3 linked regions of the Lonchura striata genome follow. The protein of the gene in region 1 purifies or fractionates together with the protein of each later gene. This does not show direct contact. Links are inferred from orthologs where the notes say so. Each region holds a gene or a part of one and is shown in the gene's direction. Other genes may lie near its edges. The genes, in order: RBPJ, FBXO42 and FHL1.

Region 1 (7,587 bases):
AAAAGAAGCTGTATCTTCTCCTGTACGTTTTGAAAACATGGATATTTTTACACTTTATCTTGCTGTATTCCTTGTAATGAATGACTTTGTAATCCTGCATCTTAGAACTTTAATCTTAGAACTGCTTTGGTGCGTGCACACATTAGCCATGGCAGAAGGTCAGGGCAGCACAGCCACCAAGGTGGGGCCTGGGGAACCCTGCTCTGCCACTGCCTGTGAATGCTGGGGTGCAGGGGGCTGGCACTACCCGGTGTGTGGTGGGCAGCCACATGGCATTTTAGCCTCCAAATGATTCACTGAGGTCTGGTGGAACCTGCAGGGACACCCTGAGGATGAGAGGACTGATGGCACCAGCCATCACTGCAGAGGGCTGTGCATGGGAGGCAGGGCTAAGGCAATAACCTGGTGCCACACTTAACTGGTGGACAGGCATCGTGCATGAGTGGAGGAATGCTGAGTGAGAGAGGTTCAGAGGTGCACTCTTTGTAGAGCCCAGTAAAACTAAGGAGGTATGCAGGGTAATTTACATGCAAACTGACAAAACATTTCACCCAATGGAAAATAAGATACTATTCTGGGGTAGGGTGAGGAGCAAAATTTAATACAATGCAAAGTGTCTTAGCATGCTGTTCTAGAAAGTATTTAAAAATAAGAGGTTATAGAAGTCAGTCATCAAGCTGTTCACACTGTTAACCTATATAACCATATGATGCTATTACTGTTAACCTCATCTTCCCTCCCTTCTTCCTTCCTAATGTTTGCTATACTCTTTTCTTCTTGTCTTTACTCTAAAAGAACACTCTGGGAAGGGACTGTACTTGCTTTCAAGGCAACACCATAATGAGGCCCAAGCTTGACTATAGCCTCTGGGGACTGCCACACCAAGGTATACTTACACCGGAGCCCGCATTACGACATGGATTCAGATTTTTTCTTTGTTCTACCATCCTCTTTGAGACTACAACACACAAGCAAAAACTATTTAACAATGCTCCTGCTGCAGACTGCTAACTAGGGTATTCTTTCTCTTTGTCATCCTTAAGACAATGTTGCAAATTCCCTGAACAGTGTTGAACATCAGCATCCATTTCAAACAGCAGACATTTCTGACATTGAGCTGGCTGGCGAGCAGCTTAAGCGATAACTTTTGTTGGCACATGCACCACAGTTCAGATCTAAGAGATGCTCTGTGGGCAACTGCCTGTTTATTTGCTTTCCTAGACACGCGATTGAACCACACTGTACATCCTGTGCTTATGAAATCCCAGCAGGGTTGTATCACAGTACCTACCACTCAAATGTGTGATTTACACCACCTACAAACTACAACGTCTCAAGATAAACCTGCTCCTTATAATGAAGAGATCCAGATAACTGCGGTTCTCACTACCTACAGTGCTTTTTAAGGTCACTGAATTTTAAAATAGCTGGGATTTCAGAGGACACACTGTGAGATATTTTTTGGTAAGACAGGCTGATCTGAGACAGAGTCTCTTGTCCCCTTGCTCATGTCTCACATGCTTGTGCTAAGCACATAAGAAACATGGAATTGCTTCTACAAAAAAGTGTGCAGGTCTTTTGTTTTCTCATCTTTTTCCAAACCAATGAGGTGGGAAGCAGTTGCCAAATGAGAAGCATATTAATTAGCTAGTGTTGTGCCCAAAGGAATGAGCTTATGGGAAGCCCAGAGCCAAGGCTGAGCTGGAGAAAGTTTGTTCTGGACCGGTCAAACAAGCTGTTGAAATTTTTGGCCTGGTTATCGCAGCTTGCATCTCATGCTCCCTGCTCATGACTGCCCTTCTCCTCCAAAGCTGGGCTTCTTGAGCACTGCTGGCCAGCAGCTCCTGTCCTGCAGCACCATTGGTGGGACAACACTCCAGGCCAAAAGACCTCCCTGCCCACACCAATGGCCTGATCCTAACAATTCCGTAGGCTCGTGCTAGGCTCCTTGTCTTTCCTCGTCTTTCCACACAAAGCAAGACTGAGTGCACAGGGGAACCATATGGATTCCCAAAATGAAGCTGCTGAGATCCACTAAGCACTGGCCAAGTGGTTCTGTCCACAAAACATACATGTTGGTGAATCCAAATTCAAGGCGGTCCTGTCCCCCAGTTGACAAGTGAGAGTAAACTGGATTTCCTGCATGAACAGCCTTCCATTTTCGAAGGTGGCTAATGATTCTGAGCACCCAGCTGGAGTCACCTGGCAGGGCATCTGCTTGGAACACAGGTGAGGCCCAACACCTGTGGAAGTCACATCCTTCAAATATGCCTGCAAGCTGTGATTTTCCAAATGGTTTCTGAAGTGTCAGGCCTGATTCAGAGCCCTTTTGACAACCTCAGCTGAGCTTAAATCAAAAAGTCAAACTACTAATTTACATAGCAAACACAAAAATTTAAATGGTGCAAACCTGGTATTTAAATTTTTCTACCTCAGCTCTGGAAGTGCTTATATTTGTTACAGGCCAGAAGGTGAGGTCTAGTTCCCTGCGGTAGTGGATGCTTTTGTTTCCAATAAAATCAATAGAAGCTGTTCACAATCTATGTGAAATACAAACTTTTAGCAGCAAGAAAAAAATTCAATGCATAAACAATATTTAAAAATCCTTTAGGGTTATTATCTTTTCTTCCACCAGCTATTCACATGAAGTTCAAGCTATTGTTTTTGATTGGAATAGTATTCCTGGCCTTTTGAACTGTAGATAATTTATAATTTAAGAAAACAAAATCAATGGTTATTTGTTTTATAATGTACTGCTGTCAGTGATGGAAAGGACTACAATGGTTTCTATGATTATTAATTCTTCTAAATAATATACCTGCTCCAGTATCCAATTAATCTGATTATTAACCAAAGTGCCTTCATTGTCAATTATTAAAAGAGACCAGACACTGCAGATTATTGTGTGCTATATTTTTAGATTTTCCAGTTTGATTCAAAACACACTAAAAGAGGGGCCCCACAAAATAACCATCTAGAGACAGTCCATGGCAAACATCCAGAAACTATTCTTAACGGAATGGAGTTAGCATGAGCTGAGATAATTCTTTAGCCTTGGGAGAAGAAAAAAAAAAAAAAAAAAAAAAAAAAAAAAAAAAAAAAAAAGAGAGAGAGATGTTTTTAGGAAAAGATTTCCAAACGGATTACGAGTTGCTCTTTGCAAACAATACAGATTTCCAGTATGCATTGTGTTTTTGCCGAGAACTGTGCGCACAAGGGAGCCAATCAAAGTCCTCTTGTATCTAATGAGTAGGGGGAAATCATGATGGGGAAAGTCCCTTAATGACAGGAGACAATAGCTGTTTGTACAGTGACACGTACAGAAAACTTTGTCACTAAGGAATCTCTTGAAACGTGTTTTTATTTATCTGAGACATTATTCATTCAATTAGCATAAGCAGTGAAGCGCATATGTGGGCAAGAAATCTGAAATCTTATTCGTGGGACTACTGAAATGTTATTTTTCCCCGTAATTTGGAAGACAGCAGACGTAGAGCTAACATAGTAAAAAAGATGTGGGCTTTGGAACCTCAACAATCTTTAATCAATGTAGCATTTGTCCCGGAGTTAGACTGACGTGTTATACTAAACACAGACGAAGTTGAAACAGACAGAAGTCTTAATGTAAAAGGATTATTTTTCAAACTTAGTCTCCTAATGGACAATCACACCCGCGCCCCGAAGGGTGCTGTTACATGAATCCAGAATAGGGATCGTCTTTTTCTGTGGTCTTTATCAGACGTGGAGCACAGCCCGTGCGGCAGATCGCTCGTGTCCCCGTGCCCGCACTCGGCCGCCTGTGGCCACGGGGCTCGCTCAGCTGGCTGGGACCCTGCCAGACCCCGCTGCTTCTGTTTGCTAAACAAACGCATCTTACGCACTTCAGCTGGGGATGAAAACAAAGTTATGAAACCGGGTTTCTCATGTAAAACTGACTTCTACAAAAAAAAAAAAAAATATGTTAACAATTCCACGCGAGGAACCCGAGAGGTCTTCCTAAGAGCTGAGGCTCCAAACCGCAGCCCCCCGCCCTTTATTCACCGTCAGACGAAGAGCTCCCCGCGCCCCGTGCCCAGCCCCGCCCCACGGGCCCCTCAGCACGTGCCGCGCCCGCGGGCAGCACGAGGCGCGCGGCCCCGCGCGCTCTCCCCGCAGGGGGCGCGGCTGCAGGCGGCGGCGGCCGCGGGCCGGTCCCCGCGCGCCAGCGGCGGCCCCGCCCCCCGCCCCGCCCCGAATGGCTCCTCCCCCTCCGCCCCTCCTCGCGCCGGCGGGGGCGGGACGCGCGAGCGGGCAGAGGGAATCCCTCGGTTTCCCCGGAGCGCGCTCCGCTCTCGCGAGACCTGCGCCGCTGTCCGCCTGCCGGCCGGCGGCGCACTCTCGCGAGAGCGGCGCGGTTCCCACGCCCGGGCTGTTGTGTCTGAGGGAGCAGCCCGGGCGCTGAGTGGGCGGCGCGCACCGCCCCCCCCCCGCCCCGCGCGTGTCTCGCGGGCCCGCGCACGCGCGCTCTGGGCCGTGGGGAGGGGGGCGCTCTCGCGAGAGTAGGAGTTTTGGCGAGAGTTTGTGGAAGATGGCGCCTGTTGTGACAGGGTGAGTGCGGGGCGTTCGCGGCGCCCGCCGGAGCCGCCGCCGCCCGCGGCTGCCGGGGCGAGACCGCGCCGCGCCCTCCCGCTCGCTCCTCGGCCGCCGCTCGAGCAACGGGGCACTGCCCTCCGGACGGCCCGCGGGCGGGCCCTGCGGCGCAAACCTCGTGGGGCTGGGGTCCCGCCGGGTGGGCGCACGGAGGAGGCGCCCCGGGCGCCGGCCCGGCAGCGGCCGCGCTCTCCGGCCGCCCCGCGGCGCGGCAGTCCCGGCGCGGCTGGGCGCTCACTTTGCTCTCGTTCTCTCCGGCACGGACGCGCCGGTCGGGACTCCGTGCAGGGTCAGTGCTCATCCCGGCTGCTTCGGAGCGGGTCCCGCTCTGAGGGGTCCCAGGGGAGCGGCGGAGCCCAGCTGGGAGCAGACCTGGGGCTGGCACGGGCTCTTCTCCCTTCTCGCTCGCCCTGGCTCGTCCCGCCGTAGGCGTGGGTCCTCCAGGCTCCCCCGGCTACGGACGGGGAGCGCTCGGACAAAGGCGTTTGCTGCTGCGGCTGGAAGTTGAGCGCGGTGCCCAGCGCCCCTCGCACGGCAGGGCCGGCCGGGGCCCGGCCCGGCGCTGTCACTGCCGGCGGAGCGCTCCGGGCGCGCCGGGCGCGGGCGGCTCTCCGCCCCTGCTAGCGGGACACCCGTGCCGTCGGGCTGGGCGACCGAGGTTCCCTTTCTCTCCTCTCTGCACACCATTCCCAGGGCTTTGTTGAGTTTTAGCTGCCTTCCTTCAAATGCTGGGCTGCAAGGAAGGGTAGCAGCCTCCCTACGCCACTAAGCCACGCTGGATCATAATGAATGGTAGTCTCCATCCCTTTCAACCGCACTGGGTAATACTTAATCATGGCTAGCCAGCTGCAGCATGTGTCACTGTAATAAGTGACACTCTCTTAGCCACCTACAGCTGATGAATAATAACAGATCCACTGCTGGTATACAGTGTGCAATCACACCTGCAGTGTCACATTGCACGTTGCCATCCTTGCCACATCTTGATTGCTGCTGCTGCTGCTTTTTTTAAGTGCTGTATCCTTAATATTGCACTACGCTGAGCAAGTGTGACCTCCCTCTATGTGTTGAGGGAAGAGACAGGAGAAGAGCAGGCTGTATCTGTACTCCACCTGTTCCAAATGAAATTTTGTCTCGTTAAAGTATTTCTAGGACTTTCTAAAACGCCGAACTTATTTTAAGATTTCGCAGTGTCTGTGACCTTCTGTCTTCCCTGTGGGATTACATTGTCTACAGCATTGGCTCTGTGGTTAGAGAGCAACAGCCTGCTTGGGGGTGGGGTGGAGTTGGTGGTTGATGCTTTTGTTCTTGTGGAGAAGGTAGCATTATGGTATTTTGTTGTTTTGATTAGCTGCAGTAGTGTTTCCAATTCCTCACTCTTGTTTGTCAAAAAATAAGTTGAAGCTTTTACTTGATTTCTTTCCTGAAGAAGGTGTCTTGTGGCTGATACAAAATTTCCCAATTAAATGTTCTTTAGGGAAGCTAATCTTGTTTGTAAATGATTCCTGGATTGTACTAGTTTAGAGGCTAGACTTGAAAGAAGGGAACAAATGCTTTTAAAGTTTGCTATAACTATTAGCCTGTGCTCCACTTAGTAATTAAGTTTTTCTATGTTTCTATTAGTTTACTCATCTGAATATTTGGACTCCATTTCCTTTTGTTTATTGATCATTACAGGATTGTCAGAAGTGATGTCATGTTTGTGACATTAGTTTTATCCTTTTCAGATGTGTGTTAAAATGTTGACAAAACAACTGTGGATTATTTTAAAAACAGTGATCAAATAATCAGAACAGTAGAAAAAAATGCCATTTTAATGAGAGTTAAATAATTGTTTGTAGTTTGGGATTTTATGCTACCTTTATTGTTTAAGCCCCTAAGTCAAATAATTATCTGGAAAAATAATTTTGTTTTCTTATTGTTAAATATTTCCAGTGTAGGTAAAATGAAATATGCTACCTTTTGTTGATGTTGTAGTTATATTATATGAAGGAGCCTGTTTTTTAATTGTTTTTATTAAATTACCTGTTTTTGGAATGTGGTTCTGATGCTGAGTTGTCTGTGTGTATTAGAATTAAAAATTGATGATTCTGCAGTAGGTGGTTGTTTTTTTTTTTCAAAATAGTATAGGAAGTTTTCGTTCTGGGCTGTTCTGTAAAAACTTACTTGGACGGGGGGAAAAAAGTGTTTTAAAAAGCAATAACTAAAGAATGTAATATGCAAATCCTGTACTGTGTTTGACTAGGCATCACATGGGCACTCAAACTTATAGCTCTTTTGCAGTCAGTGTTACTTGAATGAAAAAAGTTGTTTTGTTTTTCTTTCTTGTGAAAACTATGTGCCTAAGCTTAAGTTATGGTACATAGGTTTATGCGGTGTTGGAATGCAATAGCAGGAATTTCCTGCAGCACTTTTGGGGGGCAGTCAGAGTGTGTTTGTGCTTTGTTGTTGGCAGCATGTGGCACGCTCGTGCTGCTGCCTCACAGGAGCCTTCTGATGAAACTTGTGCATATGTACAGTGTGACAAGCCAAACTGCACAGTGTCAGAACCAGATACAGTGAGAAAGTAAACAGAAACATCAGACAAGTAACTTAAAAGGAATTACTATTCACAACTACTGTTTAAAAGAAGTGGATAATTTATGGCTGGGATTATAGGATAGTATTTTTTGGGTTTTGTGAAGTATTTTTGGTTTTGGTTGTGTACAATTTAGGGAAATAGCATTTTAAGATGACAAAATTAATGAACATGCTTCTTTATTATATTGTGAGCGCAAGCCACTTGTTTTTAAATAATTGCTATACTGCAAAAACACCTGTAGGCATCCATTAGCTTGAATATTGCTCTGCTAGGTCTAATAAAGCCATAGGTCAAAGAAAATCTCTAGTGCTATGAAACTAATTTTATAATTTTACAGTGACATAAAGTATGGAATGGTATCTTCTTAGTAGCCTGGG
Region 2 (7,357 bases), on another chromosome or scaffold:
CAGCTCCGGAGCCGCTGCTGCAGCAGGGCCCAGCCCCAGCCCCGGGCCGGGACTCCCGGCGCTGTGCCCGGGGACGGAACACGTTCCGACCGGGGAAAGGCCTTGGGTGTGCGCCCGCAGCCCCGCCGGGGGCGCCGCCACGCCGGGGTCGCACATCCCGGCTCCGCTCGCCCCTCCTGCCTCACCCCGCGGCCAGCGGAGCTCTGTGCGAGCCCAGGGGGGTTTGCGCACCGAGCAGCGGAGGACGGGCAGGGAGCTGCTCGGAGGAGGGCCCCGCAGCACCGGCGAGCAGCGGGGCTGGGGGCGGCGCGCAGCCCCCCGCGCCGAGCGAGCCCGCGGTCCCTTTAAGAGGCCTAGCAGCGCCGTGCGGCCGCCGCGCCGCCGGACGCGCCCCGCCGCCGCCCCCTCAAGCAGCGCCGCGCCGCGCCGCCCGCCCGCGCCTCCCCCCGGCGCCCCGGACCCGCCGCGCCGCGCCGCGCCGCCGCCCTCACCCCGCTGTCGGCCGCCTCCTCCCAGCTCTCCGCGACCTCCTCATCTTCCATTTTAATTCCCGTCCGCCGCCGGGCCCCGCGCCCCGCGCATGCGCGCGCCGCCCGCCGGCCCGCGCCCGGCAACGCACGCGCGGCGCGCGGAAAGGGCGGGAAGCGGCGGCGGGGCGGGGCGCCACAGCGCCCCCTGGCGGCCGGGAGGACCGCGCTCGGCGCGTGCGTCTGAGGCGTTTTCCTTCCATTTTTGTGTTTTCCTTCAATTTTTGTGTTTTCCGGAAGTTTTGAGATGTTTTCCCTTAATGAGATATTTTACCTTAATTTTGGTGTGTTTTCCCACAATTTTGAGGAGTTTTCCCTTAATTTTTAAGTGATTTTCCTTGATTTTGGTGTGCTTTCTCTTAATTTTGGGGCCTTTCTCTTAATTTTGGTGTGTTTTCCCACAATTTTGAGGAGTTTTCCCTTAATTTTAAAATTATTTTCCTTTATTTTGGTGTGCTTTCTCTTAATTTTGGGGCCTTTCCCTTAATTTTGGTGAGTTTTCCCACAATTTTGAAGAGTTTTCCCTTAATTTTTAGGTGATTTCCCTTGATTTTGGTGTGCTTTCTCTTAAGTTTAGGGCCTTTCCCTTAATTTTGGTGTGTTTTCCCACAATTTTGAGGAGTTTTCCCTTAAAGTGATTTTCCTTGATTTTGTTGTGCTTTCTCTTAATTTTGGGGCCTTTTTTGTTTGTTTGTTTTCCTATAGTTTTGTTTTCTCTTAAATTTTTGGGTCTCTTATCTTAGTTTTAGGGTTTTTTCTCTTAATTTTGAGCCGTTTTATCCTAATTTTGGGTTATTGGACAAATCTCTCCTCAAATTTAGGCTATTTCAGCCACTAATCCAGCCTCTGGTCCCTCCTGCAGACATCCAGGTGTCCGTGTGTCCTTCCATCCAATTTGTGCCTCTTTATTTAAGCCCAAATCTTCTCTTATGGAGCACAAGGATCAGCTCCAGCCTTCAGAAACATCCAAAATCCCCCAAGCCCCCATAATTTCTTAAACCTTTCTCATTTATATCCAAGATATTCACCACTCCGATGTTGTCCTTTGCACTCCGAGCCACACAAAGCTTTTTGGAGTGGGATTTGCTTTTCCTTTTCCTCCCTCAAAAAGCGCCCCTTCAGCATCCTAAAAACCCCACAGGGTTCACACAGGGAGTGGGAGAACCCTTAAAATCCGAATTTTTCCCCAAATTCCCACCTAAGAGCCAGAGTTTGCCGGCAGATGGCGACTGACTCCTAAAAATATCCCAATAATCCTCCAGCTAAAACAAATCCTTATCCCTGCGGTCTGCCCCGACCCTGAGTCTCCCGTTCCTCTGCCAAGCCCAAAATTTGGGCAGGGAACCTCCGGACAGGCCGCAGGTGGATTTTGGGGGGATGTTTATCCAAGGTGGAACTGTTGGAGGGGGTCTGGGGGTTGTGCAGTGCTCCATGGGCATTAAATCCTTGGATTTGTGCATTTTTGGCAGCTCAGCGGGGCGGGACTCGGCGTTTCCCCCCACCAGGAGAAGCTGCAGCAGGCTGGAGCTGTTCCTGCTCATCCTCTGGCGTTTTCCCAGAAGCAACAGGAGCTGAGTTTTCCAGCAGCCAGAGCCTGGCACGGTTGGCTTCATCCCTTCCAGTGTTCCAGCGGCGCTCCCTGGGACGTTTCCTTCCATCCTGCTGTAAAAAATCCCCTTCCCAGCCATGCCTGAGCCCGAGCAGCCCAAAAAAACCAAGCGGGATCTGTTGGGAATGAGGCACTGATGGCTGTGGCACACAAAAAGGGGGCTCACCTGGAAGGAGACCGTTGGAATTTGTGGTATTGGTGATTCTGAGATTGTAGGAAGTCTCTGTTTTTTTGTCCCGTTGCTAAAGAAGAAGCCATAATTTGTCTGTGTTGGTTGTTAAGGTTGTTTATTCTTGCTTATCTCTAACATGTTCTGCTGCCCTGCCATAGGTGTGGGGCTCTTTTTTTAGTGGGACATCACAAACATTATATATTAGAAACTACGTGTGCCATATTTACAATAATGGGCCAATATTTATAATTTATCTTGAACAGTGTGTCCCCAGCCTAAACCAACAGAAAAATGCCAACACCACAGTGAAACATGGAGGGCATGAAGAAGGAGAAAAAGGACAAGGCACACCCAATTTCCTCCATCTTGTCCCCTTTGGACCCCTCATCTAAAATTTTACTTTTGCACCCGTGCCACAATTATTACTGATATCAAACACTCAGAGCTGGTAATTGATCCTGTAAGGTTGAAAACTCTTTTCCATGGCCAGAGATCACAGCCAGTGTCTCTGGGGGCTCTGTCCAGGGGGGTTCCTGACCCCTGCCAGGGTGCCAGGGCAGCCAGAGGGAAGCTCTGGAATCCCACAGGAGACAAAACCCACATGTGTGACCAGGTTATCCCAGCCCTGCACAGGGACACCCACAGATCCTCCCGTGTTATCCCAGCCGTGCACAGGACACCTGGGATATCCCACAGCTCCTCCCGTGTTATCCCAGCCCTGCACAGGACATCTGGGACATTCCTTGGCTCCTCCCGGGTTATCCCAGCCCTGCACAGATCCCCCGGGACATCCCAGGGCTGCACCCAGGTTATCCCAACCCTGCCAGGGATATCCACGGCTCCTCTCGGGTTATCCCATCCCGGCATAGAGCACCCGGGACATCCCATAGCTCCTCCTGGTTTATTCCAGCCCTGCACAGGACACCTGGGACACATCCCATAGCTCCTCCCGGGTTATCCCAGCCCTGCACAGGGACATCCCAAGGTTCCTCCTGGGTTATCCCAGCCCTGCACAGGGACATTCCTTGGCTCCTCCCGGGTTATCCCAGCCCTGCACAGATCCCCCGGGACATCCCAGGGCTCCTCCCGGGCTATCCCAGCCCTGCACAGGAACATCCCAAGGTTCCTCCCGGGCTATCCCAGCCCTGCACAGGGACATCCCAAGGTTCCTCCCGGGCTATCCCAGCCCTGCACAGGGACATCCCAAGGTTCTTCCCGGGCTATCCCAGCCCTGCACAGGGACATCCCTCAGCTCCTCCCGGGCTATCCCAGCCCTGCACAGATCCCCCGGGCCATCCCAGGGCTCCTCGCCGTGGATCCCGGCTCCCCACGGGCTCCTGGAGCCGCCCTGGGGCCGGGATGCCGCGCGGGCTCCTCCATGCGGGATGCGGCTCTGTGGGACACGCAGGGTGGCAGCGATCACCTTTTCCCTGGAGAATAATGTCCCACCGGCGGGACGCGATGCCAAGACACAGCCCCGCGCAGGGCTGCTCCCCCATGGAATGGGCTCCGCTCCCTCCCTTCCTCACCGCCGTGGGGAGAGGGGCAGCCCTGAGGGCACGGCCACATCCCGCCTCCCTGCCGAGCCCTCAGGCGCTCCCCGCCTCTGAGGGGCACGCAGGGACACGGCGGGGCTGCCTGCGGGCAGAGCGGGTCCCCGTGGCCCAGCCGCGCCTCCCGGGGCTGCGGAAGAGGGCGGGACACCGGGAGAGAGCGGGAGAGAACGGGACAAGGAACGGGACAAGGAGCGGGAGCCGCCCCGGCATCTCCGCCTCAGCGCCGCCCTCCCCAACATGGCGGCCTCGCCCGCCCGCCTCGCCCACCACGGCACTAGGACCGTCCCAAGATGGCGGCGGGACCAGCCAAACACGGCGCTCCCCGCGCTGCGCCGCCAAGCGAACACTTGACCTTCCCATCATGGCGGCACCATAAGGACACTCCACGCCCGCCCTATGTCACGTGATGTCGAGGGCGGTCCCGCGCCTGCGCAGTGCGCGGCCGGCGCGGCCGGGGCAGCGGCGGGAGGGCGGGGAGGGAAGATGGCGGCGCTGGTCGGAGCCGTCACCGGGGCGACGCAGCGGCCCCGCCGCCCGCAGCCCTGAGGGCCCGGCCCGGCCCGGCCCGGCGGCAGGTGAGAGCGGCCCCGCGGTTTGCCTTCCCCGGGCGAGGCCCTTTTCCGGGGAGCGGGGCGGCGGGACGGGCCCCTCGGGGCGGGACAGGCCTGGTGTGGAGGGGAACCACATTTGAGGGTGGAGGGTAAGGGGAGCCCCTGTGCCAGCCCCTGTGCCAGTCCCTCACAGCGTTTTGGGGGTGGCTGCGGAGGGCAGAGCCCACGGGGGGCTGCAGCCCCTTCTGGGAAGGGGAAGCCCCTTCCCAGCTCTGGCAGCCCCGGGGCTCCCTCAGGGCGGGGAGAAAGCGAAGCCTGCCCCCCTAAAAACCGGGTTGCCCTCTAAAAAAGCCGTATTTCCCCGCTGAAAGCCGTGTTTCCTTCCCAAAAAGCCAAGCTTTCCCCCATCCCGAAAGCAATGTTTCTTCCACGATATGCTGTGCTTCCTCCCTAAAATATATGTTTCCCCCCAAAAAGGACATTTCCCCAAAAACCTCATGTTTCCCCAGAAAAGCCATATGTTCTCCCTAAAAGCCGTGCTTCCCCAGAAAACCTCGTGTTTCCCCCAAAAGAAACACATTTTTCTCCTAAGACCTCTATTTTCCTCCCTAAAAGCCATGTTTTCCCTCAAATGCCATGTTTCCCTTCTAAAAGCCAGGTTTGTCCCCCAGACTCCATCCTTCCCCCCAAAAAAACATATCCGCCCCCCCCCCCCAAAAAAAAAAAAAGGAAAAAAAATAAAGCTCAATTTTCCCCCTAAAAGCCCTGTTATCCCAAAATTCAGTGCTGGCATAGGGCAGTGCCAAGGCGCAGGCTGGCAGTGCCGGTGGTGGGGGGAAATGGCTTTTTTTGGGGAGAAATTTGGCTTTTAGGGGGAGAGCATGGCTCGTCGGGGAGGAAACAGCTTGTGTGTGGGGGGGGATATGGTTTTTTGGGGGCAAGTATGTTTTTTAGAGGGGGGATCAGACATGGCTGTGGGTGCCCCCCCAAAACCTCAGCTCGCGTTGTGTTCGTGTGAAAACAAAGGTGAGGCTCGGTCCCCGCTTGAAGCCGCCGGGTGCGTGTCCGTGCCCCGCTCTCGGAGCGGGATCGAGCTGCCCAGCCCGGCACCCCCGGCGAATTTGGGGTGTCGCTCCCATTGTCTCCGCTGCCGGTGTCCGCTCGGGGCTTTGGGAGCGCGGTTCGGGATTGATTTGGGGCGGTGTGCTTGTCACGGCGGGGCTGGGCTGGGCTGAGCAGCGCTGCAGGAGCTGCATTATCTCATCCTTCCCAGCCTCTCGGCTTTTCCACTCGCCTTTCCCCGTCACTGGGGCCGGGAATCTTTTAGGAGGAGCGGGAGCAGGGCTGGGGTGGCTCGCTGTTCATGACCCGAACTCCAGGGAATGCTCGGAGCAGGAACAAAAGGGGAGCGGGGAATGGGAGATAACCCCGGGATCGCCGGGAATGTGGTTTGTGCTCGGCTGGCTTTAATCATCCCTGGGAGCCGGCTCGGGTCAGCAGCTGGAACTCTTCCCCGTGGCTGGAAGGATCGGGAATTGCGGTGAATTCCCGCGGAGGAGCTGCTGACCTCAACCCCCGCCCTGGATGGGAAGGGACCTTTCCCCACCTGTCCTTCAGGAGCGGAGCCTCCCAGGGAAGCCGCGGCTCGGGGGCGGTGCCGCGGTGTCCTGACAAAGTGCTTTATATCGCGACATAGCCACGCAGCCGAGGCTTGGCCTTTCTGGAGAACGAGTGCCAGAGTGAGAGGTTTCCTCATTCCCACAGCCCTGGGTGTTCCCACTACCATCTCTCCTTCCTTTTCCTTATGCTGATGCCAAAGAAAGGCTGAAAACCGTGATTTTTCCCTCAGGTTATGTCCGCCTAGGCTTGGTATTTCCTTGGTGTTACAAATGGGAGAGAAAAGAGCAAAATCTTGGGCAGAATTGCAGCTGTTTCATAGAATCGAGAAGGGTTTGGGTTGGAAGGGCTTTGCAGACCATCCCTGCCATGGGCAGGGGCACTTTCCCCTATCCCAGGTCCCTCCAAGCCTGTGCATTCCCAGCTCAGGAATGGTCTGGCTGTACGTTCCCAGTTCAGGAATGGTGTGGCTGTGCATTCCCAGTTCAGGAATGGTCTGGCTGTGCATTCCCAGTTCAGGAATGGTGTGGCTGTGCATTCCCAGCTCAGGGATGGCCTGGCTGTGCATTCCCAGCTCGGGAATGGTCTGGCTGTACATTCCCAGTTTGGGGATGATCTGGCTGTGCATTCCCAGCTCGGGAATGGTCTGGCTGTACATTCTGAGCGTGGGGTGATGTGGACACTTTTTGCAGGGCAGGGTGGTGCCTGCCTTGCACAGGTGTTGTTCCCTGGTGTTGGGCTCCACGCTGTTCTGCAGGAGTTCGTGTCTCCGTGCTCGGGCGGCGGCAGAGCCACATCCCGTGGTTGTTTTGGCGTGGCAGGGATGTTTGTGTGTATTTTTCCTGCTGTGTTCCCTGACAGGTGACTCCACCCAGGCAGCGTTGCTTTTCCAGGGTGGCAGGTGAAGCTCTTGGATTCAGAAAGGCTCTGGACAATTTAATCATTTTATCAACACGCAGCATATACGATTTTCAGTTTCAATTGGAGTTTCCTCCAGCCTTTATTCCCTGGGACTCCGTTTTTCCCAGAGTTTGGCTGCTGGTGCAGCCCTGAGGGGAGCTCACCTGCAGTACACGTGCTGCTGCCCTGCCTGGGCTTGGAATGAAGGTGGGGTTGGTTCATTCCCACTGCTGAACGTGGGTGACCTGTGATTTGGGGATTGCAGCCACTGCGTCGGGCACCTTCTGCAGAGGTGTTGGGATGTGCTCCTCATCCCGTCCTTAATCTCAGGAAATGCAATGCATGCAGCAGTCTGCACATCTGCCAGGAGTGACAGGTTTGGAGTGGGAGCGCGGGGATGGTCTGGCTGTGCCTTTCCAGCTTGG
Region 3 (7,958 bases), on another chromosome or scaffold:
GCTGCTTGGCTGGCTCACTGTGGGATTTATTTGATGGGGATTTGAGTTACTTTTCTCAGCTCTGAGGCCAGGGCTAAGCCACCAGGGGAAAGCTGTGACTGGCAAATATCTGCCTCACGTTTGGCTCCACTGGTCATTCCCCCTGCCCATGAATGCAACTAAACTTGAACAAAGAAAGACCTAAAGTTGGCCTAAGGAGCTCACTGCCCTAAGTGTGAAGCTTTGGGGTAATAGGCTGGGGAATAACTGAGGTGGGGTGCAGCTGGTTGGCCCCATGAGGTTTCTGAATCAGACCAGTACATGTGGCAGTACATGTGGCCCTGTCTCCCAAGAGGAGTAGAGGAAGTTTTGTCTCCCCTCAGGGCTGTATGACCTTCATGGACATGTTCACACCTGTGGTCTTCACCTTGCAGTCCATGAAGGGGGCTCAGCCCACTGCTGCACACTCACAGCAGAAGGACTTGGCAGACAGAGCTGGGAAGAGAAACACAGCTCACGTTTAAGCAAGTGCATCTAAAGACTAAGACATCTGTCTTTCTAAGATATTTTTTAAAAATCTTCAATCTTTTGGGGCTGTCCCTTTTTGAGTGTGCACTGAAGGTCTAAATCTAACTGCTGGGACTACAGCAGGCACTCAACATCCTTTGATGCTGGGAGATGCAGCCTTGGCATCTTATCTGCAATGCAAGAAAGAGGACTAGGGATAGGAGGAAGTTGACTTTATTTTGGAGCTGATTCAAAACCAGCTCTGCCCAGAACCTGCTGCAGCCTCTCCTCTCCCCAGTCTTCTCTGGAGCCAGGGGTTGCCATGCTTTGTTTGATGCCTGCATCCCACCACACTGTCATAGCCAGAATGGGGAACAGGAGCTGAACAAAGCTTTGGGACTACAAAGCAGCTCCTGATTTATGCACAGACACTCCCCCCAGGCCCCAGTGTCACTTGGCTCCAGCAGCAGTGAGAGGTCTGCCATGTCAGCAACAGGTGATGGGGAGAAGTGCCAGTCAGGAGCGTGTGTGGAGGGGAGCCACAGAGCAGATGGCAGCAGGGAAATAAATTTGGAGCTGCCATGGGAATGGTCCTGGAAACAGTCCAGCCTGTAGATGGAGGCAGATGGGGAAGGACTTGGTTTATATCTCTTCCTGGTTTTGCTTTTTTTCAGATGGGCTCTGTTATCTCTTGACCATTCCTTCCTAATTATTATGCCCTTATCCCTTTTTTCCCCCCTTCTTATCCTGTCTTCTTTTCCGCCTTTTGTTTTTACTCACACTCTGTTTGAGCTCCTGGGCCTGCTTCCTTATAAATCTATTCCCAGTTCCTCTACCCCTACCTTCAGAGCTGGCCCAAAAAACTTCCTTTGGCACTGAAAGGCTCAGCTTGCTGCTGTGACCCAGCTGTGAGCTGGACCTCAGCCTGGAAGAATCCTGCTTTTGCCAGGTCTTGCCACTTTCCTTCTCTACTGTCCCTCTGAGCTGGTTCCCTGGGAGCACCAGGGGCTCACCTGGTACCTGGGGTGTTCATTCCCCTGTCCCTGCAGGGATGTCCTTGCTGGCTTTGCTCTGGATGTGGGCACAGCCCAGCCGTCTCTGCCCTGTGCTCCTGTGAGTGCCTGTGGGATGCTTCAGGGGTGCCAAGGCACAGCCTTGTGCACAGAGCTGGATTTGAGACTTCCAGAGCATTTTTGGGATATTTCACTTTCATCAAAACTGTCCAGTTTTGAAAGGACGAGGTGGAAAATTCCCTTTGTGGCTCAGGTGTGAGTGTGCCATGCAGGGTCTCTGGCTGGGGGCAGTCCAGTCTGGATATCCAAGCACTGCTCTGCAGTGCCTGCTCCTGTGCTGGAGCAGGAGGCGTGTTGGATACCGAGTGCTTGGAGAGCTGGATCAGCTCCCAGTGCCAGTCCTTGTGCCAAACCTGTCCAGCATTTCTGTGGCACTGGGGACTGCTGCCTCTTATGCCTCTCTGATGGTTCAGCTACACCTGTAAAGATCTTTTCCTTGGAGAGAGCTGTATCTGTGTCCTCTCTTCTCTCAAACCCAACTCTCTTATTGGTGGTCTAACTGCAAACTTTGCCTTTATACTAAAACAAAGAACTGATTTTAAAAACAGTTTTATTTCTGCCTCAGAAGAGCCAAGGAAGTTTATAGCTGAGATCTGTTGGGCAGGAGTGCTTTTCTGTGGGAAGAGACACACACGCAACCTGAGACATATAAAATAAAAATTGATCTGCCCTCAGACAGGAAGGGCAGGGAGCACTGTAGGACTCTCATTTTCTGGGGAGCCTGGTGAATGGCAGTGTGCTCTTCTGTGCAGGTGCACTGTGCATTGCCAGCAGCATGTATGGAAGCAGGAGGCACAGCATTACTTTAGGAGGTGCACAGGTGCTCTGCTGCTGGTATTTACTGCTGCTTTCTTTGATGATGGTGACTAATAGTTCATCAATGCCTGGCTTAGAGCAGCTCTCTTTAGGAGTTTCTGCCTGTTGAATGACAGCAGGATGTGTGAGCAAGCTGAGAGACCCAGACCTTTTCTGGAAGGATTCTTGGGGCAAGGAAATACTCTGGAAATCACAACGTGAATCATTTGTTTATCCGAGTGGATGACACTATGCCCCAGCCATGCTGCTCTGCAGTTGGACCTGCTGGGTGGGATCAGTGTGTCCAGGGCAGCTCCCTGGAAAACCTACAGGACAGGTTTAATGTTAAAAACATGACATCCCAAGCCTGCTGTGCCCTGCTGTGCATTCCCTGGTGTATTTGTAGCACTTTTCCCTCTGGGACCTGTGGGTGCCTGGTGCACAGACAAGGCTCAGGCAGGGCTGCCACACCTCTGTTCTGGGGCACCCTCTCTTTCCTGGAGGTGTCTACTCCTTGACACGTTTCATGGGGCAATGATGTCTCTCCTTGGCACTTGTGCTACATCTGCACCACCTTTGTGTTTAATCACCTGGGTTTGTGTGGATGAGGAGAGTCTTGGGCAGGAAAAGTGAATTGTCCAAAGTTATCTGGCTAAAACCAAGCAAGAAACCAAGAGCAGCAGTAAGGTTGTTCCTTTCCTGTTGCTGGACCAGGAGACCACAGATTCAAGCAAAATGGCTTTAATTAAAGTCTGCTCTGGGAGATCAGAAGGGGCTTTGCAGAGTAAGCTGTGCCAGGAGCTCCATAGGCATCCACACGTCTGGGTCTCTCTTGTTTCTTGGCCAAACGTTTCCCTTCTCCTCTCTCCTCCAGCCCAAGCCTGTTGTGGTGCTGTGGACACACGTGTGTTTGTGCACATGAAACGACATCCAAGTGTCCATCCCTGCTCTCCACAGCCCTCTGCAGCTGCCAAACTGCTGCTGGTTGCAGCCACCTCTGCTCGGGGTGTGGCAGCCACTGGCACTGCACAGAGACTCTGCTCTATCAGCCAGGATGGGAGCCAAGGCTTCTGAGGGAAATACCTGGGCATTCTGGGGAAAGCAGGAAATGACAGCTGGGTGGGAGGGTGCCAGAGCTTTGTGTAGGGAGCTAGAAAGGAATGAGAATGGTTAATGGTGCAAACTCTATGTGCATTGCCAAAAATGAACTCATGTCTGTAAATATTACACTGCGCACAGCAAGATTAGAACAGGAAAATACGAGTTGTTAGGGTTCCTGTTGCCATCTGAATTATGCAAACAATTTGCTGGAGTTTATAGATGAGCTGGGGCAGAATAACATTGTGTTTTTCCTCGCCAAAGTGTTTCAGTGCATTAGTATTTTAGCACGTTTCCCAGCCTCAGTGTGCTGCACCAGTGGATGCATTCTGTGCTCTTTGGAATGGCACGCTGTCAGGAGTGGCCTTTTCCAGGCCATGTTGGAAACTTGGAGATGTCAGGATGCTGGTGAGATGCTGAGCCTGGGCACATGCTGCCTGGGGGGCTAGGATGGGTGTGAAGGCTCAGGGAGTCACCAAGGCCAGTGCTGAGGCTGGAGACTGCACGTGTGTGTGGCTGAGGAGCTCTTGGGAAGCAGAGATGTTCCTGGCTGTAGCAGGGCTGCTCTTCAGAGGCCAGACACCACCACGATGGGCTTCCTGGAAGGAATGATAAACATTGGCTCTTCCCAGTGGCTGTCAGGGAGGTTCAGTGACTTTCCCACGGCCGTGCAGTGCGTCAGTGGGAGGCAGGATTGGCAGCTGGGTGTCCTGGCCCCTGGCCCTGAGCGTCCCCGGCAGTTGCATAACTCGGGGTGAGTGCGGGGCTGCGGAGCTGCTGCAGCCTGGGGGTCCCCACAGGAGTGACCCCGAGCCATGGCTCCCTCCCCTCCTGCTGTGACTTGGGTGGAAACAGGTTGGCTGGAATCATGGAGCTGAGATCTTCCTGAGAGCTTTGGGAACACCTGAGTCTAGAGGACAGAGGTATGAGCCAGTGCCTCTAAAGCCATGCTAGATGCTAGAGAAGCCCCATATCATGACACCCATCTTTCTAAGTGCTGCTCTTAAGGGATTTGCTCCCTTTGAGCAGTTAATGCTGTGAGCTTCCTTAAGGAAAAAGTTGGGGAAGGACCAGGAATGGCAGTTTTACTGGCAGTGAAACTTCAGCATGACCTCCATGTTGGCAGCAAGTCCAACCCATCCATGAATGTATGTGCTGGTGTTTCTGTGGGCTGTCAGCTCAGTCCCCAGGGGTACAGCCACATCCTCTCTGGGCCAGAAGACAGCTCCTCGCTGGCTACTGGGGCTGCAGCCCCCTGGCCCCCGCGGGGCTGCGATCACCTCTTCTCTTCAGCCATGGCAGAGCAGCATTCATGTTGGGTCTGTAATTTAGCTTGGGACTGTTACGAGACACAATCTCACTCTAAAGCCAAGGCCAAATAGTACCAGCATGGGGTCAAGTTCATGAGTTCATTCTGCCTTTGGGACTAATTTGGGTGCTGAGTAGCTGGGCAGGTATTTGACTGTTGCCTGCAGAGACCTAGAGGTCTCAGGATCCTATTCTTCTCCCTCAGATCACCTAAAATGGTAAGAATTTCCAAGGGGGATTAAGGTTGAGATCTCTGGGGAGGGGAGTGGACATCTGGTAGGAGTCCTGTCCATATTAATAGCCTCCGTTTAAATGTATGTTATCAAATGGGGCAGCTCCTTATCAGCCTGTGAACTCCATTACCTGCGGGGCTGCTGGTGACTTTGGGCTGCTGGCCATGGCTTTCCACAGGCACACAGGTACAGTGGGTGTGGGAGTACACCTGGTAAATGGGGAGGAAAGTTTTGCTAAAAGGCTCCTGTGCCAGAGAAAGAACTTTGAATGCAGACCTAAACCTCAGCAATCTGCAGCTGTAACTTCTGATGGCAAACGGGCTGATAACCAGTGGGAGACTGGTGCTGGAGCAGAGTGCTGGTGGTGGCCTCGTTTGTTTTGTGAAATGCATTGGATTTTAAATGTTTTTGTATCTGCTTCTGTGGGAAGGCTGGGGGTTAGCTGTTATTTGAGAAAGACTTGGTGAAAATAGGGGACAACACTCCTCCTTGCTGCAAGTTTATTGCAGTGAGCAGAGAAACCCAGAGCAGAGGGGAGACCAGTGTGTAAACCCAGATGGTTTTCTCTGCTCTGGTGGGAAGTTTGTGATTAGTCCCTCTTCTCTGTTTGTCTTTTAGTTCAGATGGGCTGACCCTTACTAGTGACAGGAAAATGTTAATTTTTCCATTAACACTGACAGGAATCTCAAGATCATATTTTACATGTCTACATGGCATGCAGCTCTGTGGTGTCTTCCCATCCTGCCTCATTCCTCTAGCCCTGCAGCTGAAGACAATCAGAAGCTCTTTGGGGGTTTTGAAAGCCTATCTCACTCTTAGCAGCTGTTTTTGTGCATATCCAGGGTGTATTCACAGCACAGTGGCGGTGCCATTGCATCTCTTGGTGAGGCACACCCCGAGGGTGGATGTGCCTGGGGACAGGGTGTCAGTGTGGGGCACAGCTCCTGTGGGCACCAAACTCAGCTGCTGCACCAGGAGCCAGGGGTGCTTGTGAGACTTGGGAACAGGGAGCCCCCTCAAAGCTGGGCAGAAAAGGCACAGTTTGCTGCTCAGCTTCCTGCTCAACTTCCCAGGACGAGGCACATGCGAGAGGCTGCTTGCACAGCACAGAACTGCTCAGGATTTGCTTGTGGGATGCACATACAGGTTATGCAGGACACCAGTGTGAGTAAATCTGACTTCTGTGGTATCATTTGATATAAGATGTTTAACTTCAGCCCACAAGACTGAGCAGTGCTGTAGCATCCTTCCATTACACTCCCAGCTATATAATTTTTTTCTTTCTCATCTTCCTCAGAGGATGTCCCCTGGGGCAGGAACTCACAGACTTGATGGTGTGTTGTAATATAAAATGCTGCAGGGTGTTCTGAGCAGATGCTGAAGTTGGACTGCTGCTGCCAAACAGTCACAGGACAATGTCTGATCCTGCAGTCCACTGGGAACCCCAGGGCAGCCGTGGGGGTATCACAGTGCCTGCTCAAGGTGGGGCTGGATCCTCCAGAGCAGGAGGAAATCTCATTTTGGCACCTGGGAGCCCCTGGGTGTGAGAAGGGCACCCAGCTGCTGAGGTGGGGCAGACCAGTGCTTAGCTGGGAACATAGTAGTCGGGTCTCAAAAACAAAACTTAATGCAGCCACAGAGTTAATTAATGGACAGGACTTGTTTTGTTTTGAAAGGTTTGGACTTTGCTGCTTAAACTCTGCCTAAAGTGCTCAGCTTTACTTGAGGCAGTGGTGCCTTGTTAGCCTTCACTGAGCTCTGCACTGAGTGCCAAAGCAATCCCTGGGGAAAGTGTTTGCGGGGCTGGGCCAGTGATTTTTAATAAATGGCACGTCCCTACTTCCCTGGGGAACTGTGAAGATTTAGTAATGACTGGGATGTGCTCACACATGGTGGCAATAGGACTGTAGGGAATGTTACTGGCAACTGCCTGAGGAACTTGGAGCTGTTCTTGCTCTAAATAAAGAAGCTTTCATTTTATCAACAGATTAATTTTTGAATTATAGAGTATGAGACTCGCACGTGCCCCAGCCTGGCAGTGGGAGAGCACAGCTCTGGTATTTTCAAAAATACCAGAACAAAAACGACCTATAAGAGATTTCTTTCTTTCCTTGGGCTTTGCAAATGTTGGTTGCCCAGGGCATTGTGCCAGTACAGTCCTGAGTGTCACTTTGCATTTGGGATTAACAGGACCCTTCTTTTAAGGGTTTCCCAGGTATTTATAGCAAACCATGCGACCTTGCATAGAGGAATGCTGAGAATAGTAACTCAGGTGACAGAGCAGGGCTGCCAGGACTGATCTGAAACAGGCAGGTGTAGCCAGTGCCTGGCACTGTGGGGCTGTGTACTCAGTCTGCTGAGAAAAAATAAAACTAATGTAGAATCACAAAGCACTTTTTTCTCCATGTGCAACTGTGTGTAGGGCAGAGGGTTAACAACTCCAACCTCATCTTCTTTCTTAAGTGGCAGAATAATCTGTAAAGTGTAAGTACAGTTTCTCTGGTTGTGTTTAGAGACTACACTTCAAGTTCTTCTTGGTGGTTTATCACATTTAAACATATTCCCCAGAGACGTTAACACATAGCCTGTGCTAAGTGCTTTGCTTATCAGCTGTGCTTCAGCTTCCTTCCCTGAATGCTTTGGTTCCATTTATTGTGCAAACCACTGTGATGCTGCTTTGGGTTTTTGGCTGAACTGGGATGAACCAGCCCAGGGTGATGCAGGAGCCCAGCGGGAGGCAGGGGATGTGTGCATGCAGCAGTTTTTGTGGGGTGGCACTGCTTAGGCCTTACCTTTCCGTGCAAAGCTGGCTGTGCTGCAGGGTGCAGATGTGGCCCTGACCCTCAGCACTGTGATTCCTTGGTGTCAGCACCACTTGAGGTGTCTGGAAGCCCCTGGGGCCCAAGGGTTTGAGATCTCTGAAGGATAGAAGGTGTGGCTGTCCAAGGGCTGTTCTTGTGGAGCA

Evidence for each region.
Region 2: the proteins of RBPJ (region 1) and FBXO42 purify together in Homo sapiens (affinity purification with mass spectrometry; 3 studies listed by BioGRID and IntAct, counting the BioPlex papers as one, with this or other methods). This does not show direct contact. The link is inferred for Lonchura striata from reciprocal best matches to the Homo sapiens genes RBPJ and FBXO42.
Region 3: the proteins of RBPJ (region 1) and FHL1 purify together in Homo sapiens (affinity purification with western blotting; 4 studies listed by BioGRID and IntAct, with this or other methods). This does not show direct contact. The link is inferred for Lonchura striata from reciprocal best matches to the Homo sapiens genes RBPJ and FHL1.

Annotation. Positions count from the first base shown.
Region 1 is NC_134606.1:18,657,491-18,665,077, forward strand, and holds the start of RBPJ (recombining binding protein suppressor of hairless), read left to right. Parts: upstream 1-4,527; 5' UTR 4,528-4,567; coding exon 4,568-4,587; intron 4,588-7,587. UniProt on the Homo sapiens protein: Transcriptional regulator that plays a central role in Notch signaling, a signaling pathway involved in cell-cell communication that regulates a broad spectrum of cell-fate determinations.
Region 2 is NC_134626.1:6,609,907-6,617,263, reverse strand, and holds the start of FBXO42 (F-box only protein 42), read left to right. Parts: upstream 1-4,354; 5' UTR 4,355-4,439; intron 4,440-7,357. Other genes in the region: SZRD1 (SUZ RNA-binding domain-containing), read right to left, coding at 492-542. UniProt on the Homo sapiens protein: Substrate-recognition component of some SCF (SKP1-CUL1-F-box protein)-type E3 ubiquitin ligase complex. Specifically recognizes p53/TP53, promoting its ubiquitination and degradation.
Region 3 is NC_134616.1:6,663,438-6,671,395, reverse strand, and holds the start of FHL1 (four and a half LIM domains protein 1), read left to right. Parts: upstream 1-4,949; 5' UTR 4,950-5,076; coding exon 5,077-5,179; intron 5,180-7,958.